3 linked regions of the Caenorhabditis elegans genome follow. The protein of the gene in region 2 interacts with the protein of the main gene of each other region in a pairwise test. Each region holds a gene or a part of one and is shown on either strand. Other genes may lie near its edges.

Region 1 (8,251 bases), on a different chromosome or scaffold from region 2:
TCAGACACTGGATAATCAAGATGAGATGGTGATTTCTTGAACAATCCAGTGATCTTAGATTTCAGTGATGGCTCGTCCTTCTTCTCCGATTCCTCGATCACAACTGGAATGACATGCTCTGGCAGTTTCTCATAGCTGAATTCAGTTGGATATGAATGCACTTCCGTTGTGAGTGGAATATCATGAATGTTGGATGCTCGTGAAGTAGATTCCAATGGTCCATCGTAAGATTCAGACACTGGATAATCAAGATGAGATGGTGATTTCTTGAACAATCCAGTGATCTTAGATTTCAGTGATGGCTCGTCCTTCTTCTCCGATTCCTCGATCACAACTGGAATGACATGCTCTGGCAGCTTCTCATAGCTGAATTCAGTTGGATATGAATGCACTTCCGTTGTGAATGGAATATCATGAATGTTGGATGCTCGTGAAGTTGAATCAAGTGGTCCATCATAAGATTCAGACACTGGATAATCAAGATGAGATGGTGATTTCTTGAACAATCCAGTGATCTTAGATTTCAGTGATGGCTCGTCCTTCTTCTCTGTCTCCTCGATCACAACTGGAATGACATGCTCAGGCTGCTTCTCATAGCTGAATTCAGTTGGATATGAATGCACTTCCGTTGTGAGTGGAATATCATGAATGTTCGATGCTCGTGAAGTAGTTTCCAATGGTCCATCATAAGATTCAGACACTGGATAATCAAGATGAGATGGTGATTTCTTGAACAATCCAGTGATCTTAGATTTCAGTGATGGCTCGTCCTTCTTCTCCGATTCCTCGATCACAACTGGAATGACATGCTCTGGCAGTTTCTCATAGCTGAATTCAGTTGGATATGAATGCACTTCCGTTGTGAGTGGAATATCATGAATGTTCGATGCTCGTGAAGTAGTTTCCAATGGTCCATCATAAGATTCAGACACTGGATAATCAAGATGAGATGGTGATTTCTTGAACAATCCAGTGATCTTAGATTTCAGTGATGGCTCGTCCTTCTTCTCCGATTCCTCGATCACAACTGGAATGACATGCTCTGGCAGCTTCTCATAGCTGAATTCAGTTGGATATGAATGCACTTCCGTTGTGAGTGGAATATCATGAATGTTGGATGCTCGTGAAGTTGAATCAAGTGGTCCATCATAAGATTCAGACACTGGATAATCAAGATGAGATGGTGATTTCTTGAACAATCCAGTGATCTTAGATTTCAGTGATGGCTCGTCCTTCTTCTCCGATTCCTCGATCACAACTGGAATGACATGCTCTGGCAGTTTCTCATAGCTGAATTCAGTTGGATATGAATGCACTTCCGTTGTGAGTGGAATATCATGAATGTTCGATGCTCGTGAAGTAGATTCCAATGGTCCATCATAAGATTCAGACACTGGATAATCAAGATGAGATGGAGATTTCTTGAACAATCCAGTGATCTTAGATTTCAGTGATGGCTCGTCCTTCTTCTCCGATTCCTCGATCACAACTGGAATGACATGCTCTGGCAGCTTCTCATAGCTGAATTCAGTTGGATATGAATGCACTTCCGTTGTGAGTGGAATATCATGAATGTTCGATGCTCGTGAAGTAGATTCCAATGGTCCATCATAAGATTCAGACACTGGATAATCAAGATGAGATGGTGATTTCTTGAACAATCCAGTGATCTTAGATTTCAGTGATGGCTCGTCCTTCTTCTCTGTCTCCTCGATCACAACTGGAATGACATGCTCAGGCTGCTTCTCATAGCTGAATTCAGTTGGATATGAATGCACTTCCGTTGTGAGTGGAATATCATGAATGTTCGATGCTCGTGAAGTAGATTCCAATGGTCCATCATAAGATTCAGACACTGGATAATCAAGATGAGATGGTGATTTCTTGAACAATCCAGTGATCTTAGATTTCAGTGATGGCTCGTCCTTCTTCTCCGATTCCTCGATCACAACTGGAATGACATGCTCTGGCAGTTTCTCATAGCTGAATTCAGTTGGATATGAATGCACTTCCGTTGTGAGTGGAATATCATGAATGTTGGATGCTCGTGAAGTAGATTCCAATGGTCCATCATAAGATTCAGACACTGGATAATCAAGATGAGATGGAGATTTCTTGAACAATCCAGTGATCTTAGATTTCAGTGATGGCTCGTCCTTCTTCTCCGATTCCTCGATCACAACTGGAATGACATGCTCTGGCAGTTTCTCATAGCTGAATTCAGTTGGATATGAATGCACTTCCGTTGTGAGTGGAATATCATGAATGTTGGATGCTCGTGAAGTAGATTCCAATGGTCCATCATAAGATTCAGACACTGGATAATCAAGATGAGATGGTGATTTCCTTGAACCAATCCCAGTGATCTTAGATTTCCAGTGATGGCTCGTCCTTCTTCTCTGTCTCCTCCATCACAACTGGAATGACATGCTCAGGCTGCTTCTCATAGCTGAATTCAGTTGGATATGAATGCACTTCCGTTGTGAGTGGAATATCATGAATGTTCGATGCTCGTGAAGTAGATTCCAATGGTCCATCATAAGATTCAGACACTGGATAATCAAGATGAGATGGTGATTTCTTGAACAATCCAGTGATCTTAGATTTCAGTGATGGCTCGTCCTTCTTCTCTGTCTCCTCGATCACAACTGGAATGACATGCTCTGGCAGCTTCTCATAGCTGAATTCAGTTGGATATGAATGCACTTCCGTTGTGAGTGGAATATCATGAATGTTGGATGCTCGTGAAGTTGAATCAAGTGGTCCATCATAAGATTCAGACACTGGATAATCAAGATGAGATGGTGATTTCTTGAACAATCCAGTGATCTTAGATTTCAGTGATGGCTCGTCCTTCTTCTCTGACTCCTCGATCACAACTGGAATGACATGCTCTGGCAGTTTCTCATAGCTGAATTCAGTTGGATATGAATGCACTTCCGTTGTGAGTGGAATATCATGAATGTTGGATGCTCGTGAAGTTGAATCAAGTGGTCCATCATAAGATTCAGACACTGGATAATCAAGATGAGATGGAAATTTCTTGATGTGTTTTTCTTTTTTCGTATTTTTTGATGTTGGCTTTGGTGTAGATGGTCCAGGAATTTGATCATAAAAAAATTGATTATGGTACAAGTCGACGTGTTGATTCAGTGGAATTTCTTCAATGTTTGTAGTCTTCGAAGTCGTTGTTACAGTTTGGTCGTCATAAGCTTGATGAATGGGATAGTCCATCTAAGTGTTTTCAATGTTTTTAGTGTATAGAAGCTCAAACTTACATCAAACTTTTCAAATTCATCTGATCCTGGTGTAGATGGTTGTCTTTCATCGTCGGCTGTGTACTGTGATTCTGTCATTTCACTAGTAAAGTCTCTAGTCGATTCTAGTACTTCATGTTCAATTCTTTCTGTTTGATATGTTTTAGGTGGAATTTCAAGCTCAATGTTAAGCTTGGCCTTGGTTACCGGCGACATCGGTGCATGGCTTTCGCTTTTTGAGACAATTACATAGCTTGGCGATGTTGCTCTTTCAGTGAGGTCAATGTCAACTGTTAAAGTATTGTCGTCGACAAGCTCGTAATCGTCTGATAGTGAATCACTATCACTGACCTGTAATTTAATAATATTTTCAGAAATACGGCACTATAGCTTTATATATTAATATACCTCCAAAATTTTATAGGTCGTTGTGGTGGTCGTAATGATTGTAGTTGTTTGTTTCGAGTCACGATTAAACAAAATACCATTGAACAAAGGGACTCCAGATGCGGTCAGGGCTCCGATCAGGGGTACACCTTCTGCCTGAAAAAAGGTATTGTCTGTACCGGTTCATTTATGATATATTTACCTGGTTAGTTGTAACGATTGACGAAACAGACTGTGAAGTATTGCCATGGGGTGACAAGGCAAGAATATGTGCTGGGGACACCTGAAAATGTTTGATAAATGCGCTCAGTGTCTACAAATAAAAGCTAACGACAAATTGTTACGTTTAACGTTGGTGGTTATCCTATTCTTGAAATTAAATCAAAAAGTTCTTACTTGAGAGTTTTCGCTGACCGGCAATTGCACGATATGAACTCGCTCAGTGGTCGTCACGCTTCTCGACTGAAACGGAGAAGTCGATCTGAATAACTTTTTAAATAGATGAACAATTTTGAAATCGATGTACCTGGACGGTGAGTGTCGTGTCTCTTCGCGACGTGTCACTGTCCATCGGGGACGTTCCAGCTCTCTGCCTGCAGAATATTTAAAATTTTGGAAAAGCTCGGTAAGTGTCTAAATTAGTGCAGAATACTAGTAGATTTTTGATCATTTTCTGCGAAATAATATGATAGTTGGTAAATTTTTTTTCTCGATTAAGGTCTTTTGCGGTTGATAAAAATTTTAAAGATAGTTTCTCATTAACGCCCAATTATAAACTAAGAAAACCGAATGTAATTTGTTGTATAATGTTTGAAAACTGGGAGGAACAAATAGAACATCTTGATGTGAAAAAAGTTGCACTCATTTTTAATTTTGAGGTCTACAGATTTCGCTAAGTTTATCCAACTTTTCGAGCTAAATATCAATGCAAAAATATATAAAATGTATTTTATTGATTTGAAAATAGTTGCTTTCACATCTGAAAAAGTAGATAATAACCTCAAAAACTGACTGAAATTTGTATTTTCCAGGAATATATTTACAGTAGTTTTTTTCTGCGAATTGCATCTTCAAGGCAGTATTTCAGGTTTAAAAACATATTTTCCAGCAAAAATAAAAATGATTTTCAAACCAAACAAATATGAATAACATATTGAAATGAGAGGTTTTGTAGAAATTCCAGTCATGCAAAAATGCAAATGTAAATTTAGAAAATAGGCGGTTGGTAGGCACGCCGGAAGGCTTGGCTGCCTGCCTGAGAACTATAATTTCTCATGTTATAAAATTATTACGTGTTGAATTAAACTTGTCTAATAATGTTGTTATTGTTTTCTTTTTTTCATTTATTTCCGATTTTTCAATAAATCATAATAGCTACACTTCTCAATTTTCCGGTTTTTAACCCCCAAGAAATCAAATCTATTTGTATGCCATTTCTCAAGATGATGATAGATTGCATTGTCAATTTATGGTATCAAAATGATAAAAGATTTGATGTGAAGAGAAAGATGATGAAGAAGGCAAAGACATACCTGTTCGGCTGGGAGGATTTTGGCGCGTCGGGTTATCACTCATATAACCTGAAAAATAGTTTGTTAGATTAAACGAAGTGAGGGGAGGGAGCAAATAATTAAGGAAGCTCTTTGAGTACTTTGAAACAGAAAAATAATTATAGCAAAAAAGTGAAAAAAGGGGAGAGGCTGACAAAAAGGATTGACAATAACTGGACGACAAGAGGACAAGGGATAAATGAAGGAGGGAATAGATCAAGGCTGTGTCAATACAAATGTCAATTTATGTTGCGGTCAGAGATGGGATAGTGTTATGAAATTGTATTAGAGTACATGTAAAAGTAGTAAAGTAAAAAAATAGTTTTTAAAAAAATCCCGAAAAAAAAACCTCATTTATCATACTTTTACGACGGTTTTTAATCTATTTGATCAGAAATGTTTTACCTCATAAAATACAGAAATAATTTTTATAATTTGAAGATTTTTTGATAAATCCAGAAAACAACCGAGATTGAAACTATCTAAATGGAAAAATGAACTGCGCTGGGAAATTACTGGTTAAGAGTACTGTTTAATGGAGTAATGTATTCAAAATTTTTTGTTGTTAAAAATATAATTAAATGAAAGAAAAACTGCACTTTCAATTAGCTATAATATCTCGAAAGTTTGAAAAAAAAACAAAAATTGGATGGCAAAACCATTTGGAAAAATGGTGTATAAATTTTGAAAAATATAAATTGAAAATTTTTCGGGCACGGAAAGATCACATTTAGACTTCCAAATGAAAAATGTGTAGGAAGAGGAAAACAAAAATTTTGCAATTTTTTTTATTTTGAAAGGTTTGAAATGTTTCTACCTAGTAGCTCGATCAAAACATTTTTCAGCTGATTTTTTTAAAAACAACAAAAAAAAATCTAAATAATTATTGGGAAAAGGGTCTGAAGAAATTTTAGCTCTACTGTTTTCTAGATAAAGGTTTATGTTCCTCTCATGCTCAATGTTTTGTAGTTTGACCTATCAACTGAAAGATCCACTTTAAGATAATGGAATTAGTTTAACTTCTAGAAAATTAAAAAGGAATGTTTTTCGAAAAAAAATAGGTTCAATGAAAAGTTCAAATAAAGACAATTTGGGAAAATGTTAAAAGTTTAGCAAATTGGAAGAAAAAAAGATAACAACTTTAATTGGAATTGATAAATTTGATATATAATAAGAGAGACATAATATCCAAATAAATATTGAATTCAGAGTAGTTTTATTTGGAATCCATATTTCAGTCCTACAACTTTTAATTTCAAGAGAAAATTTGAGATCTAGACAATCTAGGAAATCTGGAAATGTGCCAGCAAAAAAAGAAAACATGAGAAAAAATCATAGAAATGTGTGAAAAAAAACAAAAATTGGAATCCAGATGACATATTTTTGAAAGTGCATGCAATTTTGAGGGCAGTAAATAAACGACTGCGGAAAAGTGATGAAGGGTGTTCCAGATGACAAAAACGCGGAGAATTTAGAGATGTTGAGAGGCAAGAGATCGGGAGCCAAACAGAGACACAGATGTACAGAGAGATGACTCGAACAGAAGGTGGAAGGGCAACAAATGGGATTTGTGGTTGGTTTAGAAAGAAGTGAAATAGAATGCGAGAGGCAACCGAGATCAAGGAGAGAGTATTGGAGAAGAAGAGACGCAGATATGAACACTGATTACAACTCAACTTTTGAGCTCCTCCTAGATGTTAGTGAGAAGACACGGGCGGTCAATTACATTGTGAAATTTACAAGAAAAAAGTAAACGAACAATATGAAATATAATAAAGATGCATATGAGAGGAGGAGGTACGTGTGATAAAATGAATGAAACGGGGTTAATCGTAATTGATAAGAGGTGATAATCAAGAGATATTGGTATTTATGTTATGTTTGAGAAGTTTTGAAATATGTTTATTGAAAGAAAATGCCATTATTTTTAAAAGTAATTATTTAAACGATGAAAGAAAATCATATGAACAAATACGCGAATTGAAATTTAAAAACGTTTAAAATTTTGTTATTTATTGAGAAATTGCACCTAAATTCTTCAGAAATTTTCAAATAACTGAACTGCCGCGCAAAGTAATTACTGTGACGGGATATTTACACATTTCTAAATCATATCAAAATGATACTGACAAACCGTTTTTGAACAAAAATTATTTCAAAATATTTTTGAAATCTAATACATTGGAATGCGGGGGTCTTGTGACAATGTGTCATCGATCCCAGTTTTAGATTGTAAGAAAGTTCGTGGGTTGACATTGTTTTTTTACAAGATTTGAAATGTACGGGATACAACTGTAAAATTGTTACGAGTGTCTGTTTTGACTGAAAAGGCAAATTTCAAAATCTGGTGGCGTAAGAGAGTTGAGGTTGAGGAGATCAAAAGTTATTGGAAAAAATAGGAAATAGGAAGTTAATCTCAAACTTTGAGAAATCAGATCATTTGGGAAAGTCTCATGAATTATAATTTTCTTAAAGAAACTTTTTTTAAATTTTTTAAATTTTCAACAATTAATAACCAATAACTAAAATAACAATCAGAGAAAAAAAGCAAAAAGGAACGAAGATAAAAACAAGTTTTCCGTCGAATGATGAAGTGTTTCAATTTGAAACAAAAGAGATGGTAGGTAAGAAAAACTGAGAAAAAACACAACAAAAAATAGAATGAGAGAGAAAAAAGAGAGAGTAGTGATCGAATCGAAACGGCCTTCTTTCTCTCCTCATTCCGTTTTACCACTACCAAGAACCTTATGTTGCAATTAGCCATCACAAAACATCAGAAAAACAATATGATGAAACAAGTCCAATTTTAAAATTTTAACTTTTGAAAAAGTTAGAAGGATAGAAAATCAAAAAAAAAATTAGGATTAGGACACGATTTTTCAATTATTGTTGTTTTTGGAAAACAAGCAAAAGGAAATAAAAAGTACGCAATCCACGAGTTGAAGGGCGCTTCATTCTACGTTTGAACTTCTCGACCAATCAGCGACGCGCAAAGGGCGTGGCAAACGGCGCTGATTGGTCGGAGCCTTCTCAGGCGGAAAGTTTAAATTTAAGGGA
Region 2 (8,328 bases):
TTTTCATTGTACTAAGCATTCAGTAGTACAAGAAACCGTAAAATTGCTTCTTGTTAAGCGGATAAATTTGTCAATTCAATAAGTTATACCAACAATGTCAACAAAACTTTTCGTTCCGACAATTGTTTTATAACCGTTCAGCGATACAATCTGGGTCGTCGTAACATAACAGGTATCACTTTTTGCGGTTACAAAACGGAGAAACCATAAGATCTAGGAAAAAGCGGTGTAAGTAGTAAATTGAATGAAGCAACTGGAATATGAAAAGTAAAGCTTAATTTTAAAAGATCTAGAGATTGGATTCTAGAGGAAAACACAGCTTTAGAGATATTTTTTCCAACACTTCTTGTGAAATTTTTTTTCAAAGTTGAATTAATTCAAACTCAAATGCATTTTCTACTTTGTGATACATTTAATTTGAAACCGAAATTTTTTTGAAAGGTCATATATCTTCTTAGAATTCTGTAATTTTAAATTTGTTCTACTCAATTTCTTGAACTAAAAAACTGTTTCTGTCAATTTTGCTTACAGTAGATTTATTGACGCAAAAGTAACCACTCTTATTTGACTATTCATTTTTTTTCGAGTACATCAGAAGATATTCTACAGTTATGATGCATAAACGACATAATGCAGGTTTTGTCAGTGACAGTTTTTTTATACGGTTTGATAAAGTTTTGAGAAAAGTATTTGCAACGTTTATGAGTCTTAATTTTTTTTTTTTCAAATTTTCCTATTTTTATTGTGTATTTTTTACATCTCCGAGAGAGCGTAATAAATTAAAAAGTTTTAAAAATATTGTTTCAATAAAAAAAAACAATTTTGATTCTAATCAAAATGCCAAAACATTTGATTGACAATGGAACATACTATAACAATTCTCAATAAAACAGTTTCTTCAATTTGGAACACCTAATATAAATAAAACCATGAACTAAAAACTAAAACTAGAATACTTTGTTTTTAAATAGACAAAAAAGAAAGCGGCTACATGAAATGGTCAAAAGTATCATCTAAAAAGCGGGAAGTGGAATGAAAGAGAAGATAATACTGGAAAAAAAACATTGTGCAAACAATCAAATAGATGTCGAGACCGAGATTTGCACAAACGGGGGAAAAGAGCTCACCGCTCTACCTATCCAATTTTTTATTTATTTTTCAACCTTAGATATTGGTTTTGATTTTGGTTTTTATTCCACTTTTTATCTAATAGTAAGTGTTAACCTTCAATTCTTTCGCTCTATACAGAACCTCATAAATCAGAAGGTGTGATGGTGATGGCATTGAAAATTGTATAAGGAGAAACACAAACGAAATGAAATCTGCGTAAGATCATAGTTGTAGGCTCTACAATTTGATTGACAGGCGGTTTGGATTAATCTACCTTTTCGGAGTGAACGGAACGTTGTACACTGAACGGATATGATGACTAATTGGTAGTGACGGTACAATGATTTGATGACAAATGACCAGAAAATGAAGAAATCCCGAGACATAAAGAAAAAACAAAAAGTGCGAAAGATTGGTGACTTGAAGAGGAATAGAGATGGATGCAAAAGTCAAAAAATCAAACATATTGTATTATATGAACACAACGATGTACAGAGAAAAAAGAAAAAGGGGCAAAAAGGCAGAAGAGCTGGCGGGGTTGTTTTGTGTGAATCATCTGAATAAACAGGGCTTTTTATATGCGTTAGCTGGTACGTATATGCATATTTGTGTGTATTGACAAGGTGGCTGAGGTTGGTGCATCTCCTTTTTGTATACCGTGCAGTGCACGGCAGTATCTTTTTACTCGACTTTTCCCAGTTGGCATCGTTTGAGAAAATTTTCCGCAACTTAGTTTCACTAAGGAAAATTATGTAAAAGTAAAATTCACTTTCACTATTGAGTTGTCGGCTTACACTTCGGTTCTCCTTGGGTTTATCAAAGAAAAAAATTATGTTGAATTTAATATTTCTTAGTTGACTATTTTGACTATTTTATTTTTTTTTGATAAAAACAAAAATTACCCAAGTACTGCCAAGGTGGAGCAAGAGGGTACAAGTGTTTTTTTTTTCAAATTTAAAACACGAATAATCCCTACAATAATCAATTCACTACAAATATAAGTAAAAATTAAAAAGTTCAAGTTCGTTAAACCTACTAAGTATACTAAGTAATTACAATCGAGACATTTGCAGATTTTTAGTTGAACAAATAAATTCTAAACTGTATAAAACTCGTGAATATAGAAAAGTAAAAGTATAACACAAATTCAACATATACACCACAAATACCACATAAGAAGCCAGGTAGTAGCACATTAAAAAACACGACAGAGGTTAGTGGCCAAGACGATTTGGAGGAAGGGCAAACGTCTGTGACCCTCTCTGTTTTCTGCCCCTCTTGACATCTCCAACGGAACAATTGAACAGTTTTAATAAGGTTGCTAGAGTCTGGTGGAATGAATGAGTCGAGATTTGATGAGTTGAGTTAGATGGTTCAGAATTGGTAATTTGAAGAAAATTGGCCAAGTGGAATTGGGAAAAGATGCGAATTAAGAACTGAATACTAAGGTAGGTAACGTAAATTAAACTAAAAATAAGCAAATTTCTAGTCAGTGACTCATAATCAAGACATGGTTATTAGATAAATTTCAGGAAAGAAATAATAATTTTGACACTTTTATAATTAAATTTTTGATTTATTGCTTCACGTACAATTTTGAATAACACATGTGTTGTGAGTAAATTAATTGTGAATTTTTGCTCAAAAGTTGTATAATTTTACAATGTATACATTCTATTCCGTTACCACTATTATTAAAATTATCTTCATTCAATATCATCTGGAACTGTTCGAATGTGGGGTATCCCTAGCATATTAATATGATCAAGACATTTACACTATCCGAAAATAGCCAACAAACATATCAAAAATGTATATAATTTTTAAATCACACACAAAATCAAAACAAAGTAACATTTACTTAGTTTCAATAAATCATTTGGAAGTCAACCAAAAAATACATGTCCTGTCAGTTTTACACATTAAGGAGATTCATATTATTTTTATATATACATTGTTGTGTTCAAATCTCCAGTAATGCCCAAAATAATTGAGAAATTATTTGAAAGCAAGACATTTTTTCAAAAATAATTCTTATTCTCCCGAAAATAATTCTTCCGAAGAACATGAAAACTTAAAATGTGTGTAATTACGATATTTAATCGTGTTTGACAATTATTCATATGTGAATGAAAACAAAATTCCGCTTTCAAGACGTTAAATGTTAAAACTCAGTTTTTAACCTATACGGCAAAAGTATAAAAAATTGATAATGTCTTGTGAAAAGAAAAAACAATCAAGAAAAGGTCTCACCTGTATAAATACACCCTCTTCTACAATTTCGGTGTCGGAGCTGGTATCGGATGAGGAAGACGACGCCTCCTCAACCTGAATATCCGGATTTGCCGCCGTGGTGGTAAGTCGTTTCCGGGCCGTGGCGAACACAATTATACGTAGAGAGAGGACAAACGCCTGAATTCAGAAAGCAAATTAATTGGTGAATTGTTGTAAGAAGGTGTGTGGGAATTGAAATGGAATGGTGAAGGCGTCAAGAATTCAAATTTTCTCTAATGAATGGATAGTGTATCTACTGGACTAGTTTTCCTCTTTCCTCTCAGTTTTCAGATCGCCAAAAGGGCAAAAAGTTATCGGAACGAAGGCCCTTATGTAATGAGACGGTTGAAGGGCCACCCGACAACCACAAGACGCAATTAGTATCCGAAATGCAATGATTATTAGAAAAAAGTGGAAGTGTGGTGGTCATGTCTGCAAGCGAATGTACGAGATCCACAATTGCACGCTTTTGCTGCCACCCATACGCGAAACATTTTGAATTTAATAAATTCTGAGAGCGGAAAGCCCGGTGTAAAAAGAAGAATATGCTTGGAAATAACACGGGAAACTGTGAGAAATTTGACACGATTTAAAGAAAAAGATCCGCATTTTTGATACCCTTTTGTTCTTATTATAATTGAGAGAGGGAAGGGTCTCAGGCTGAACGCTTATTTTAAAGAAAACATATGTCAGATTCAATATCATATAGAGGGATGTGATATAAATATAAAGATGGACTGAAAAAAAATCATCGTGAAACTTCAAAAATTTTTTTAATTATTATCCAATATTTACGAATTTTGACAATTTTCGAGAAAGGCGCGAAATCTGAATGAATATCTCTTCTCGAATGAAAATCTCGTTTTGGCCTAACTTTACCTTTAAGTTAAAAAATTTAATAGGAGTATTTTTAATTTAGTATTAACTTGTATTAAAATTATGGCAAAAATACTCACCAAAATAGCAGAAAATGCTGTCTGTAAGATGGCGTTGAAGCCGTCCGGAGGACGACTTTTCTGTGACCTGTTGTTTGACGATTGTAGATTTTCTATGTCCATACAATTCTGAAAAAAAAACCTTTAAAATTTTCATCATTCCTTTTTGGAAAAGCGGATAGAATTTCAATCAAATTGCCTACATATTGCTGAATGTAGAATAATGGGTTTCAACAATAAAAAATGATTCAATAGGAACATGAATTGTTGAACGGAAACTTAGCAATTTAAAAAGGCTTGGTTAGTTTTTTATACAACAATTTGAAATCATTGTTTTGTTGAATAAAAAATTTGAAGAAGGAGACATGTGCGACCACGAGATGTTCCATGATTCAGACTATGATGTATCAACAACTTTATGCATATGTAGTGAAAAAATACGATGATGGGAGAATAACACACACGAAAATGAGCGAAAAACAAAAGAAGGATGTGCTACGGAAGAAGTAAAGAGCTCTCAGGTTTCTATTATGTGCCAATTTCTTTGTACTGTCAAGAAGAGAAGAGAGTGTGGTGTTTGCTCGTGAGTTCTGGCGAACACGAAGACAAGTTGGTAGCGCATAACAATTGCTTGTGCCGCACTAAACCACTTTTGCAAAATCTTTTATCTTCTTTTATCTCTCTAGTGATTTCAATCATACATACGTGCCAGTTTCACACCACAGATTACTGTGCAATAATGGAGTTACATCAAACTTCAAGCTAGTAAAACATTGGGCTTGGTTAGAAAATCAAAATTATTCGTATTTCTTTGTTAAATACAATAAATACTCTTCATATAGAAGTTACATTCTTTTAATAAAATGACAAAGTTAATTACAAAACAAGTTTTGTGATCTACAGAGGTGCGCGGGAATTGGAAAAAAAAAGTATCTCAAATTCTAAAATTTTTGAATTATCTCAAGCAAACGGATGACAAAAAAACTCTACTAAAATACACATGACATTTCAAGCTTAAATTTGTTAGGTTACAAGATTGCCAACAAAATCCGGCAATTCCTGTAATTTTTATTTCCAATGTTTTCAAAATTACCAAATGTCGCGCACCCCTGAAATTGAAATAGTTCCAATTTTGAGTTTAAAAATATTTAAAAAAAAATATTTTAAAAACATCATCTGAAGTTTTCAGTGTTACCAATTCATAACGTGAATAGTTTTTGGCACAGAAACAATTCGAATTTGTTTGAATTTAGATATTATATTATTTTATTAATGATAAAAATATAGTATTCAGAGGTGCAAAAAAACTAATAAAATGTAAAACTAAATTCACAGGAGATGTCGACCAGCAACATGTAATACAACATGATATGTATACAAAACAACAACAAGCAGTAGCAGATTAATAGTTGCATACTTTAGTAACGGTTAATGATGATGTTTTGTGAAAAGATGAGGATAAAAGCTTAGGTTTTTTTTTAAACTCCAGACTTGATTGATGAATTCTAGGTGATTTTGAACAAATTCTGAAAACATATGCTACTCTCCAAATGCAATTGTTGAATTAATCTAGGCAAAATGATGATGGAGAAATTTATAGTGCATTTATTTATTATGAATATAAATATCGAGAGGAATGGAATGAAAGATAGTCGGGAGTGAGAATGAGCGAGAACTCGTAAAATTGTAACGAACTACAGATGCGAAAAGTGATAAGAAATAAAGATGGAAATACAACAGATTATGATAATGTTTGTGCATGATGTTATGTGTTATAATTCGGTTTAAGAATGAAAGTGGTCAGGAATCTAGAGGAACGTTGAAATTTCGAACTACTTTTTTTAAATGAATCTCACTAAACAAAAAATTAAGATTACACGAATATTGAAAACTGTTTAACTTTGCAAACACAATAGAATTTTTTTCAAAACGGATTGCCTCACACTATGATATGACGGATTTTCCGGTCACCGGCACCTGTCAAAGATGATTAATCAATTTGTTTATTGACATTTCTCTCCTCGTTCACCGATAGTCTGATTATAGGGAAAAGGACGAAAAAGGCGATGATAGGATGACGGGCGAAAAGCTTTAGATATAAATATTTATTTGTTAAATGGATTAGATCACTTCCGAATGATGATTTCATTCAGGACGTTTGAAATAATATTGTCTAATATTGGTGGCTAAATTAAGGCAAAATATTAAATAAGTCAATATTACCGAGATTGGAGAATGATTGCACTACATATTAAATTTTCCAAAAGATATCTATTACTACTAATAATAATTTACATCAAACCTCGTAAATTTTTATCGAAAAAAAAATTTAATAGAGAATTTTTTTGAAAGTGGCATTTTTGTAACAGGTACATTTTGAAATAAATATTTTCATAAGGGGTAGACGGCAATTGCCGAAAAAACCGATTGCCACAATTTTTAAAACTCAACATCTGCCGAAACATCCGAAATGCCCAACATTTTAGAATGCCGTCCATCCCGGATTGTGACTCAAAAAAAATCTGTTAAATAGTTGTACTTATTAATTATTCAGCAGTGCTAAAATGAGTTAGTTAAAAATATTTTGATTTTACAATAAAACATAACAACCTCAAAATCAAGTTAAAAAATTTTCATTATTAATGCTAGTGATATGTACCTTTATAATAAGCAAAAAAATCTGCGACAAAAAACCATCCTAATAACAGAAGCTTGCAAACATTTACTATGATTGATTATAGTTATTATGATAAAAAAGTGGAACCGAACGTTGCAAAAGTGACAATGTCTTGTGTGAAAGAATTGAATTCCAATTCTCAAGTCCAACAAAAGAAAATCGGAAAACAGTTGTGAAAACGATGGCGGAATGCCCGATTACTACTCATAACAGTTTGAAAAGTCGCGAATTGGATGAATAGTCACAATGGCCATTGCCAGAACGGACTGTAGAAGTTTAGTAGAAAATGGAAATGAGGTCTATTTTCATCTCATTTTCCAAGAAAGTAACCCTTTTGGAAAGAAAATAAAGAAGGCAGATATGACCCGTAAGACGGAGATTTACGATAAACGAGAGAGGGTCGAATAGAAATTAGTGCAAACCAGAAACATCGGGATAAGGTTTGGCGGTTAGCAAACAAAATGCATGGATAGATTTCAAAGAGATATTTAAAACTTTTCAGTCGACGTATTCTAGGATTTCAAAATCTCCGGAAAATTACCGATGGTTTTTAGACTCAAGTAATATATTTTCAGATACCCTCTATTAGTCTTGCATGCAAGACTAATTTTCAAACGACCCGTAGGGGAGCAAGACTAATAGAGACTGCAATACTATTAGAGGCTGCAAGACTAATTTTCGTAGATCCAAAAGCTTTGTAAAGCTTACAATTTCTTGTCAAAAATTTGACTTGAAACATTAAATGACACAAAATACATACTTGTTCATTATTTTATCAATTACTTGAACACTTCTACGTTCAATTCAGCCAAAAAAAAAGACGGACTTTTCGACGTTTCCACAAAACATTGTTGATCTAGCAAACATAAGAGTGCAAGACTATTAGAAACTGCAAGAAGAGGCTGCTAAACTAATAGAGAAAATACGGTATACTTTAAAAACGTTTTAGAAACTCATAAACAGGTGACACTTCGACAGAAGAGTTAAAAAATTGCCTCCGCCCATATCTAGGATTTATAACTTTCAGAAAATTTTTTGTTTTTACAAATAAAGCATGAGTTCAACAAGTTAATTTTCTAATAATGTTATTTAATATTTTTTGATTATTTACAACTCAATCAAGCCAATATCATACTTTAAACAAATTTTTGTAAAGCTTTCAACCTTGAAATAAAAAAAAATAAAACGGATAAACAACTATCAAAATTGTCAAGTTTGTCCAGTTTTTTAACAAAAAGTTTTTTAAAACTATGTCAAGAGGTCCTACACTTGGAAGTGCAAAAACCTCAAAGAATTTTTATGTCTATTGAATAACTAGCTATTTCTATGTAT
Region 3 (7,350 bases), on a different chromosome or scaffold from region 2:
TATTTGACTTCTTGATTCCAATATGATGGCGTTTCACGTGCCGGTGTCTCCCGTTTCGGTGTTTCTCGAGAATAAGAATAAGAAGCAGTACTTTTAGAAGTCGACGGTGTTGCAACGAAATTCTTTTTGATAGGCGGTGGAGATTTGATATCTTCTGGACTTTTCAGATTTTCGAGTTTTAAATTCTTGGGAGTTGATGAAAATCTGAAAAAAATAAAGAGAATTACAACAATTTTGAGAATAAAATAAATATCATACGTTTTTGTGGGAGTTGTCTTGTAGAATGGAGACGTTTCCTTTGGCTTTGGGGATGAGGAAAATATCGATGATTTCGGAGAAAGCAACTCCCTCGAGCAGTTTTTCAGGTTAATTTGTGGTTTTATGACGAAAGATATCTTCGAACGATCCATTTGGTTAGTTGGAGTGTGTTTTGGTGTTGAAGAAGCGTATGGAGAAGGAGTCAGCGTATGTTGAAGATTTACCATCTTTTTCTGTTGATAATCAGCTGATTGTTTCCTCTGTAGATAGTTTTCCAAGTCTTCAGAACTGAAAATAATAATAAAGTTTAGTTTTTTTTTTAATTTATTTAGGCTGAATAAAAAACATCATGAGTTTGTTTGATAATCCTGAAAATCACCTAATTTCGGCGTACTGAAATTTGAAACAATATATTTAATCAAAAATTAGTTTAATTAAAGAATATAAAATTCACCTGAGAATGCATCTAAATTAAGTTTTAAATGTATCTCGGCTCTAATTTTTAATTAAATAAATTAAAATATGCCACGATAGAGTATTTTATTGAACTGCCATGTTCCTTACTACTACACAAAGCTGCCGTATCCCATGGAGACGTGCGTAGCAGGACATTCTCAACTTACTTTTTTCCATGATCAGCGGAATTGCTGCTTTTGTTGGAGGAGAAAGTTGCAAGATTCCGTTTTTTTGGATGTTCCATTACTGAAATATTTATTGTTTATTTTTTTAATAGCCATACAATTTAATTTACCATCTTTATTGGCTTCAATCATTTTATTAAACTGATTTACAACCCATCCCATGTGCCTGTGAGCATCGTGGCTTGTGAATTCAAGTTTGATATAACTGAAAATTATATTTATTAATTGAGAGTGTGATTTTAAGTTTGAGATTATTACTAATTTTCACTTTAAACAGAAATTCTGGAATATTTGTAAATTGGCAAGAAATTATCGAAAATTAAAGAGAAGTATCTTTACAATGGTATTTTATAGATATAGCAGGCCGCAAAAATGTTTTTTGTAGAATTTCAATTCTAAAGGAGCGATTTTTTTAAAAATATGATATTTCATTTAAAAAAAATTAAATCACCTTTCTTCGCACTGTTTATTCAACTCAATGTTCAACAATTTGGCTCCCGTATGTGAATTATCCGCTATCGGCTTGTACATCATTTGTGTATAGTAATACTCTTTGTCTCCTCCTCCGGGACACCTGAATCTGATAGAATCCGATGTGAATTCGATTTGTCTCTTCAACATTCTTATAGGTGTGATGCGAGGTCTTGTGATGGTCACGTCAATAAAGAAGTTTTCCAGCATCTGAAAACAGGATATTTAAATATATTTTAACGTTGAAATTTGAAACAAAAGCAAAATAGTAATTATTATACATACGTGACATTCTAATTGCTTATCAATAAAACTAATCTGGCAAAAAAAATCTCCCCTCCCGTGAAGTGAAATCGAAAATCAAATTATTTCGATTTTAGTCCAACCCTAGGAACACATTTCGATTCGCATCAAGTAAGTGCTTTAACAGGAAATTCTGTGAAGGCAAGCGGTAGCTGAGATCAGTGGCAAGAAGAATTTCTTTAGAACATCCTAAAGAGCTGCTGAAACTCTTTGACTGAAATTTTGTGATGTGCTGGTAGGAGATTCTTCTAGCCACTGCTATTTTCTAACATTTATTTCTTCTTGATATTCCACTATAATCGGAATCTCCTATCTAATATTCATTTAAAAAAATGAATAAGTATTTTGCAGCTCACTCAAGATGGCATACGTCGAGAGCTTCTACATGGATGCTAGTTTGGAGAGCGACGCCGACGTTCTTCCAGCATCGGAGAGTGATATGTTTGAGGCACAATTCATTGCCGATGTCCCACTCGACGGCGACGCGATCATTCGTATCGTTGATTCACAACTCGCTTTTGAGCAACGCAACCACGTTGTGTCGGACTATTGCACCATGAAGGCCGCGGAGCTCGAGAAGAACCCGAATCAACTGACAATGAACAGCTCAGTTATGGACAATCAGCAATATTTTGCCCCGCCAAAAAGTGAATCGTCGCAATATGCATGGAACACGAATGATGTTGTCTCTTCTCATCATCAATATGCTGCTCAGAGCCCAAACATCTACACCAACGACTATCACACCAGTGAACCATCCGATTATGCCTATATATAACTTGATGGAATGAGTAAACATTTGTATTTTGGGTTTCTGTATTTACTCGTTATTCAGCCGCAAAATTAGAGAAATCTAGACTTTCGCGACGAGACCCAGCTTATCTATTTCAAGGTGGTCGTAGAATCGTTTAATTTAAGACTTCTCAATCCCTATTCACACATTAAAAAGCAAAACTACGATACTTGAATAGCATTAGTTCTGAAATAGAAAGATTAAAAGTAAAGAAAACCTCGATTCAAACGAGTATTTGAAAAAGGAGAATAGAGGGAAAAAAAAGTTTATCACAGGTTGGGCAAAGTTTCAATAAATATCGACAAGTGTTTGAGAAATAATTACAAGATGTCAAAAGGAATAAATATTGCAAATTTAATAGTCTTAATCAGCATCCGAGTCTGACAAATATTCAGCATACTCTTCTTCATTCACACGATCCTCTTTCATTGCTTTGTCTAGAAGAGCAGCGATATCAGCATCCTGGAATTATTTTTTCTATAGAAAACTTCTATAAAAAACAATATTTACTTTTGTCACATCACTCGGCAGCTTTTGATCTTGATTCCTTACAAATGGATTGGCTGACGAAGCGAGAAGAAGTCTCACACATTCCACGTGGCCTTTGTAGGCCGCTGCATGAAGAGGCGTATCACCGAGTTTGTTCTGAAAATTTAATTTTTAGAGATTCGTTACATGTGAAAGAATATTTCAACAAACCTGAACCGAAACTGCAACTTTTGGATCCTTCAACAACGTATCCACTGCTGGCGCGTGTCCACCATGTGAAGCCCAGTAAAGTGGTGTAGCTCCGGACTTATCGAGGGAGTTGACGGATACCCGCTCTCGAAGACATTCAGCCAGCATATCCATATTTCCACGTCGAGCAGCTTCATGTAGGGGATTCGGGAGCTCTTCCACATTCTCACTGATCACTGAAAAAATAAATATTGGAATTTCTAGAAATCTCGATGAACTCGGTGCAGTTTCGAATTATAAAAGAGGAGGAACGACGGTTTTGCAAAATTGAGATGCGGTTTGATGCATGGCCATTTAAAAATGATTTTGTACTAATGAACTGACGAAAAAAGTTCAAAAACAAGTAATTTAACTAAAAACTGTAAAACCATGTGAATTAATCTACGCTTCTCATCGAACCGCGCCGCAGCTTTGCAAAACATTCCTGATTGTGCTGTAAGTATTCACCATAATTAGCTGGAACCAATCCTTTTTTGCCTCCGATGCTTGCTTGGAACCAATCTTTGTTCGGCTGCTCGTCGCTGACGTACATTAGATCTCCTTCACTGAATGTCAGCTCTTGAGCCTGAATTTATTCAATAATTGGGTTGTTTTTTTCAAATTAAAGCTTACAGATCTGGCTTGAAAATCATAAAGTGCTCGATAAACTTTCACTCGTCCTGGCTTTGGAGCTGGTGGTGGTGGAGCCATTGGTCGAGCTGATGACATTCTGATAAATTTTAAAAATGTTGAAAAATTCATATTTCTAATCAGAACAATAATATTTTTAAAGTAGAATATATTCACCAAAACAAAGGTGTAAAAATTGAAGAATAAATTTTTTTGATCATTTGAAGTAGAAATCCGTTTATTAGCTATTTGACAGAGAAATTTAATACGTTGAGACCAGTTTGAAAAATGTACAAATATCGTAAGGAATTTATGGATAATAGAAAGTCAACGGTCCGCATCGTTCTTCTCGAATTCGACGAATGTGACGAAGGCACGGAATTGCTTTGGCAAATGATGGACGAAGACGGTCTTGGAGCATTGGTCGAATGTCGGTTTCTATGAAGAATAACGTTGTTGGAAGTCTCTTTCTTGCTTTCATTTCCTGAAAAATTATAGATTTATTTTCAATAAAACAAGTAAAACAAACTTACAAGTTCTCGCCAATTGTCCAAAACCTCCCTATCGCTCCTTGTCAGCTGTTTATTAGTTTTCCCCAGGATTTTGCTCTTTTTCATCAGGAAATCATCCATTTTGCTCACTATTTCATTCATCATTTCCAGCGTTAACCGGCCTAGTTGATACTTTGGAATTGTTTTGAATTCTTCATCCGTTATCTGTGGCACAATTCTGATATCATTTTCTTTCGGTTTAGACGATAATCCTTGTTCATTCGGTTCATTGGTTTCGACAAGAGCAGATGATTCTTTACTTTGAGGTACCAATTGTGATTTCACATCGACAATCGTGGAAGCTTCAACTTTGATTCCGAGAAAATCATTCAATTGACTTTTGGTGCAGTTCATACATGTTTCTTCACAGTTGTTTTCCAATTTTTGTTGATCAAAAGCTGCATCATCTAGTAACAACTTGATATTCTTCATTGTATTCAAGAGAGGGCTGATTGCTGAAAGAAGTGATAATGAAGAATGCGAGAAGTTGTGAAGAAAAGTAAACGTACTTGTTTCAAAATTGGGAATATTTTCTCGACATATGCGGAAATTTTCATCGGTCTCTTCGGTAATCCGATCAATAAACGATTCCATTCTGAAACAGGTAATGTTTTAATTTTTAATTTTTAATATGTTATGTTTTGTAGTATTAGAGATATGTTTAATGTATCAACAATTGAAATTGAATCAACGGAAAAGAGCCAAATTCGATAAAGTCTAATTTTAGGGAAAAAGGAAGCAGTGGCCGTTTCTGCTGGATTTAAGAAATAAAGAATGCAGTAGAGCAAGAAAAAAATCTGTTCCAATTTAATTAAGAAGTTATAGCTAATTAAAAAGATAAAACAATTAAATAAATAAAGACAAGACGGCAAGGAACGATGAGTCATATTCGCGCCGTTTTAATTCAGATATACTTCGAGAGGAGTACACATCCGTGGGCGATAGAGCAGCCACAGTTCGAATTTCTAGGCCACGACCATAAAAGCGAATTTTCAAATTTAGATTTTTATCTTTGTTAGAAACGTTTTTCTACAAAATAACATCATATTTATACCTAACCCAATGAAGATAAATGGAAGAAAAAGACGAATTTGATTTATTTATTGAAAAAGCTGAAGAAGTGGTTCGTCTTTTTGAAAATGGGCAGGACGTGAGTTAATTGATGCGATAACGCGTTATAACACTGAAAAATATTCAGTTTCTCTCATCTTTTAATTTTTCAGGTTCGCAACGAAGCAGAAAAATTGCTCAAAGATGCTCTTTCTGTTGACGCAGAATGTGTTCCGTCCACATGTGTAAAGCCAGATAAAATCTGCAAAATCTTAAATGTGAGTTGTTTTTATTTCAAAAGAGATAAAAAATATATTTAATTCTCAGTATCATATAAATAAAACAAGCTCCCCACCAGTTCAAAGTATTCGAATGCGCCATTTTACTCGATCTCCAACAGAAAATAAAAAAGTAGGAGTCATAAATATCTCAATTTTCTGATAAAATGATTATTTTTCAGATAATAAACACAATAAAAGTACAACCTAACTCGTCTTCATGTCTACGATGCACAGTTTTAATAATAATTTTTACCCTTCTTTGTCTCATAGCTTATCATTTCTACTTTTTGCGATTACCAACACGTTGTCCTCGGCCAACGTGGTGAATGGCTTTATAAATGTACAGCAATTTGTTCAAGACATTTGTAATTCATTCAAAATAAGCATGGAAAAGATCGAAATGTGATTCAATGGGAAAACATAATGAAGTAGAGTTTTTAACCGTGGAGAAAAATCGATACAAATAATAGTATCATAATGAGGAGATCAAGCGAGATCGAATCAGTCTTCGGTAGTGACGGCACTCGCCGTGCACTTTTCCATAATTTCCAAACTTTTGTCGTGGTTTTTAGAGAGCATTTTTCTGTAAAAAATGTATTGTATATAGAGTTAGGAAGAAGAAATTACGTACAATAGTGGTAAATCATCAATTGGCTGGTAAACAATATCTTCAAGAATTGGTAAAGGATCTCCTCTCTCCAAATGAATTTTTCGAAGTGTTGCTTCCTGAAAAAAACTTTCCAGTTTAACACGATTGTTTTTAACGTACTTCAGTTTCTGCTTCAGTGTTTGTTGGTTGTGGATATACAGCGAAAAGTTCGAGTTCTTCTTTCGGATCACTTCCCAGCCGGACAATTTCCCGTTTTCTTTCGATATCCTACAATAAAAACATTATATTTTGAAACAAGTCATATATAAGGAAGTGTAAAAATCTACAAAATGGCCCGTTTTGAAATTTTAATGTAACTTTTGACTCGAAGGCTACTGTAGAAATATAGAAAAATGATTAAATTATTTTGCCGAAAAAAAAACGTTGTAGATTTTTTCGCACACTCTTGACACAAAATTCAATCATACATTTATAGACCGACGACATTTGTGATAATGTGATGCTGTTCGGTTCCCATTCCACGACTTGAAGCCACATTCACATTCGAACAGAGTATCCCCAGTAGTCGTCAGATCAAATCCTTCTCGTTCTTTGTCTCCAGCACAGGCAACTTCATCGTTTATCCGACGCCCTTCCAGAGTTTCAAAGAATCTACGTTGAAGTAGGCCTATCTTATTTCTTTTTGACATATGCTCTCTTTCAGTTTCATGGACGGATTTCCGTTCAATCACTTGCCACAGTGAATTGAGCATTGTGTGATCATTGGTACGATGAGCCTCAAGCAATAATCTGCTAGTGAATGTCAGAGCACATACATGACATCGCATTTGTGGTCCCAATGCATGAGAACGCATGTGGTTAACGAATTCGCGAACGAAAATGTGCTTGGATCGACGGACATTTGGACGTAGATCCTCGTGATGGAGACAAATCGGACAGAGAAGAGTTCTGGAACTTTTGAATAATTTAAATATGCTTTTTCTTGAAAAAATCATACTCATTGCTATGCTTCTCAATGAAATGTTGATAAAAGAAAGCTCTAACT

The links. The genes of interacting proteins can lie anywhere in the genome.
Region 1: the proteins of ajm-1 (region 2) and ZC247.1 interact in a two-hybrid assay, tested with the Caenorhabditis elegans proteins (one large-scale study listed by BioGRID).
Region 3: the proteins of ajm-1 (region 2) and Y106G6H.14 interact in a two-hybrid assay, tested with the Caenorhabditis elegans proteins (one large-scale study listed by BioGRID).

Annotation. Positions count from the first base shown.
Region 1 is NC_003279.8:10,274,016-10,282,266, forward strand, and holds the start of ZC247.1 (63 kDa sperm flagellar membrane protein), read right to left. Parts: upstream 5,220-8,251; coding exon 5,177-5,219; intron 4,287-5,176; exon of another isoform or gene 4,238-4,286; coding exon 4,171-4,237; exon of another isoform or gene 4,159-4,170; intron 4,126-4,158; coding exon 4,041-4,125; intron 3,928-4,040; coding exon 3,847-3,927; intron 3,801-3,846; coding exon 3,666-3,800; intron 3,609-3,665; coding exon 3,279-3,608; intron 3,235-3,278; coding exon 2,387-3,234; intron 2,347-2,386; coding exon 1-2,346.
Region 2 is NC_003284.9:9,079,097-9,087,424, reverse strand, and holds the start of ajm-1 (Apical junction molecule ajm-1), read right to left. Parts: upstream 4,443-8,328; coding exon 4,341-4,442; intron 3,523-4,340; coding exon 3,364-3,522; intron 2,157-3,363; exon of another isoform or gene 1,954-2,156; intron 1,738-1,953; exon of another isoform or gene 1,596-1,737; intron 1,393-1,595; exon of another isoform or gene 1,202-1,392; intron 1,140-1,201; exon of another isoform or gene 992-1,139; intron 1-991.
Region 3 is NC_003279.8:10,469,477-10,476,826, forward strand, and holds Y106G6H.14 (Osteoclast-stimulating factor 1), read right to left. Parts: upstream 3,914-7,350; 5' UTR 3,913-3,913; coding exon 3,817-3,912; intron 3,770-3,816; coding exon 3,652-3,769; intron 3,381-3,651; coding exon 3,166-3,380; intron 3,112-3,165; coding exon 2,977-3,111; intron 2,929-2,976; coding exon 2,830-2,928; 3' UTR 2,720-2,829; downstream 1-2,719. Other genes in the region: duo-3 (ubiquitinyl hydrolase 1), read right to left, coding at 1-204, 259-546, 882-960, 1,010-1,104, 1,351-1,580; Y106G6H.13 (Reverse transcriptase domain-containing protein), read left to right, coding at 2,035-2,451; ska-1 (SKA complex subunit 1), read right to left, coding at 4,124-4,297, 4,347-4,819, 4,874-4,958; Y106G6H.16 (Dynein light chain), read left to right, coding at 5,437-5,514, 5,588-5,692, 5,742-5,825, 5,875-6,021; row-1 (C2H2-type domain-containing protein), read right to left, coding at 6,197-6,278, 6,327-6,421, 6,465-6,572, 6,773-7,259, 7,303-7,350.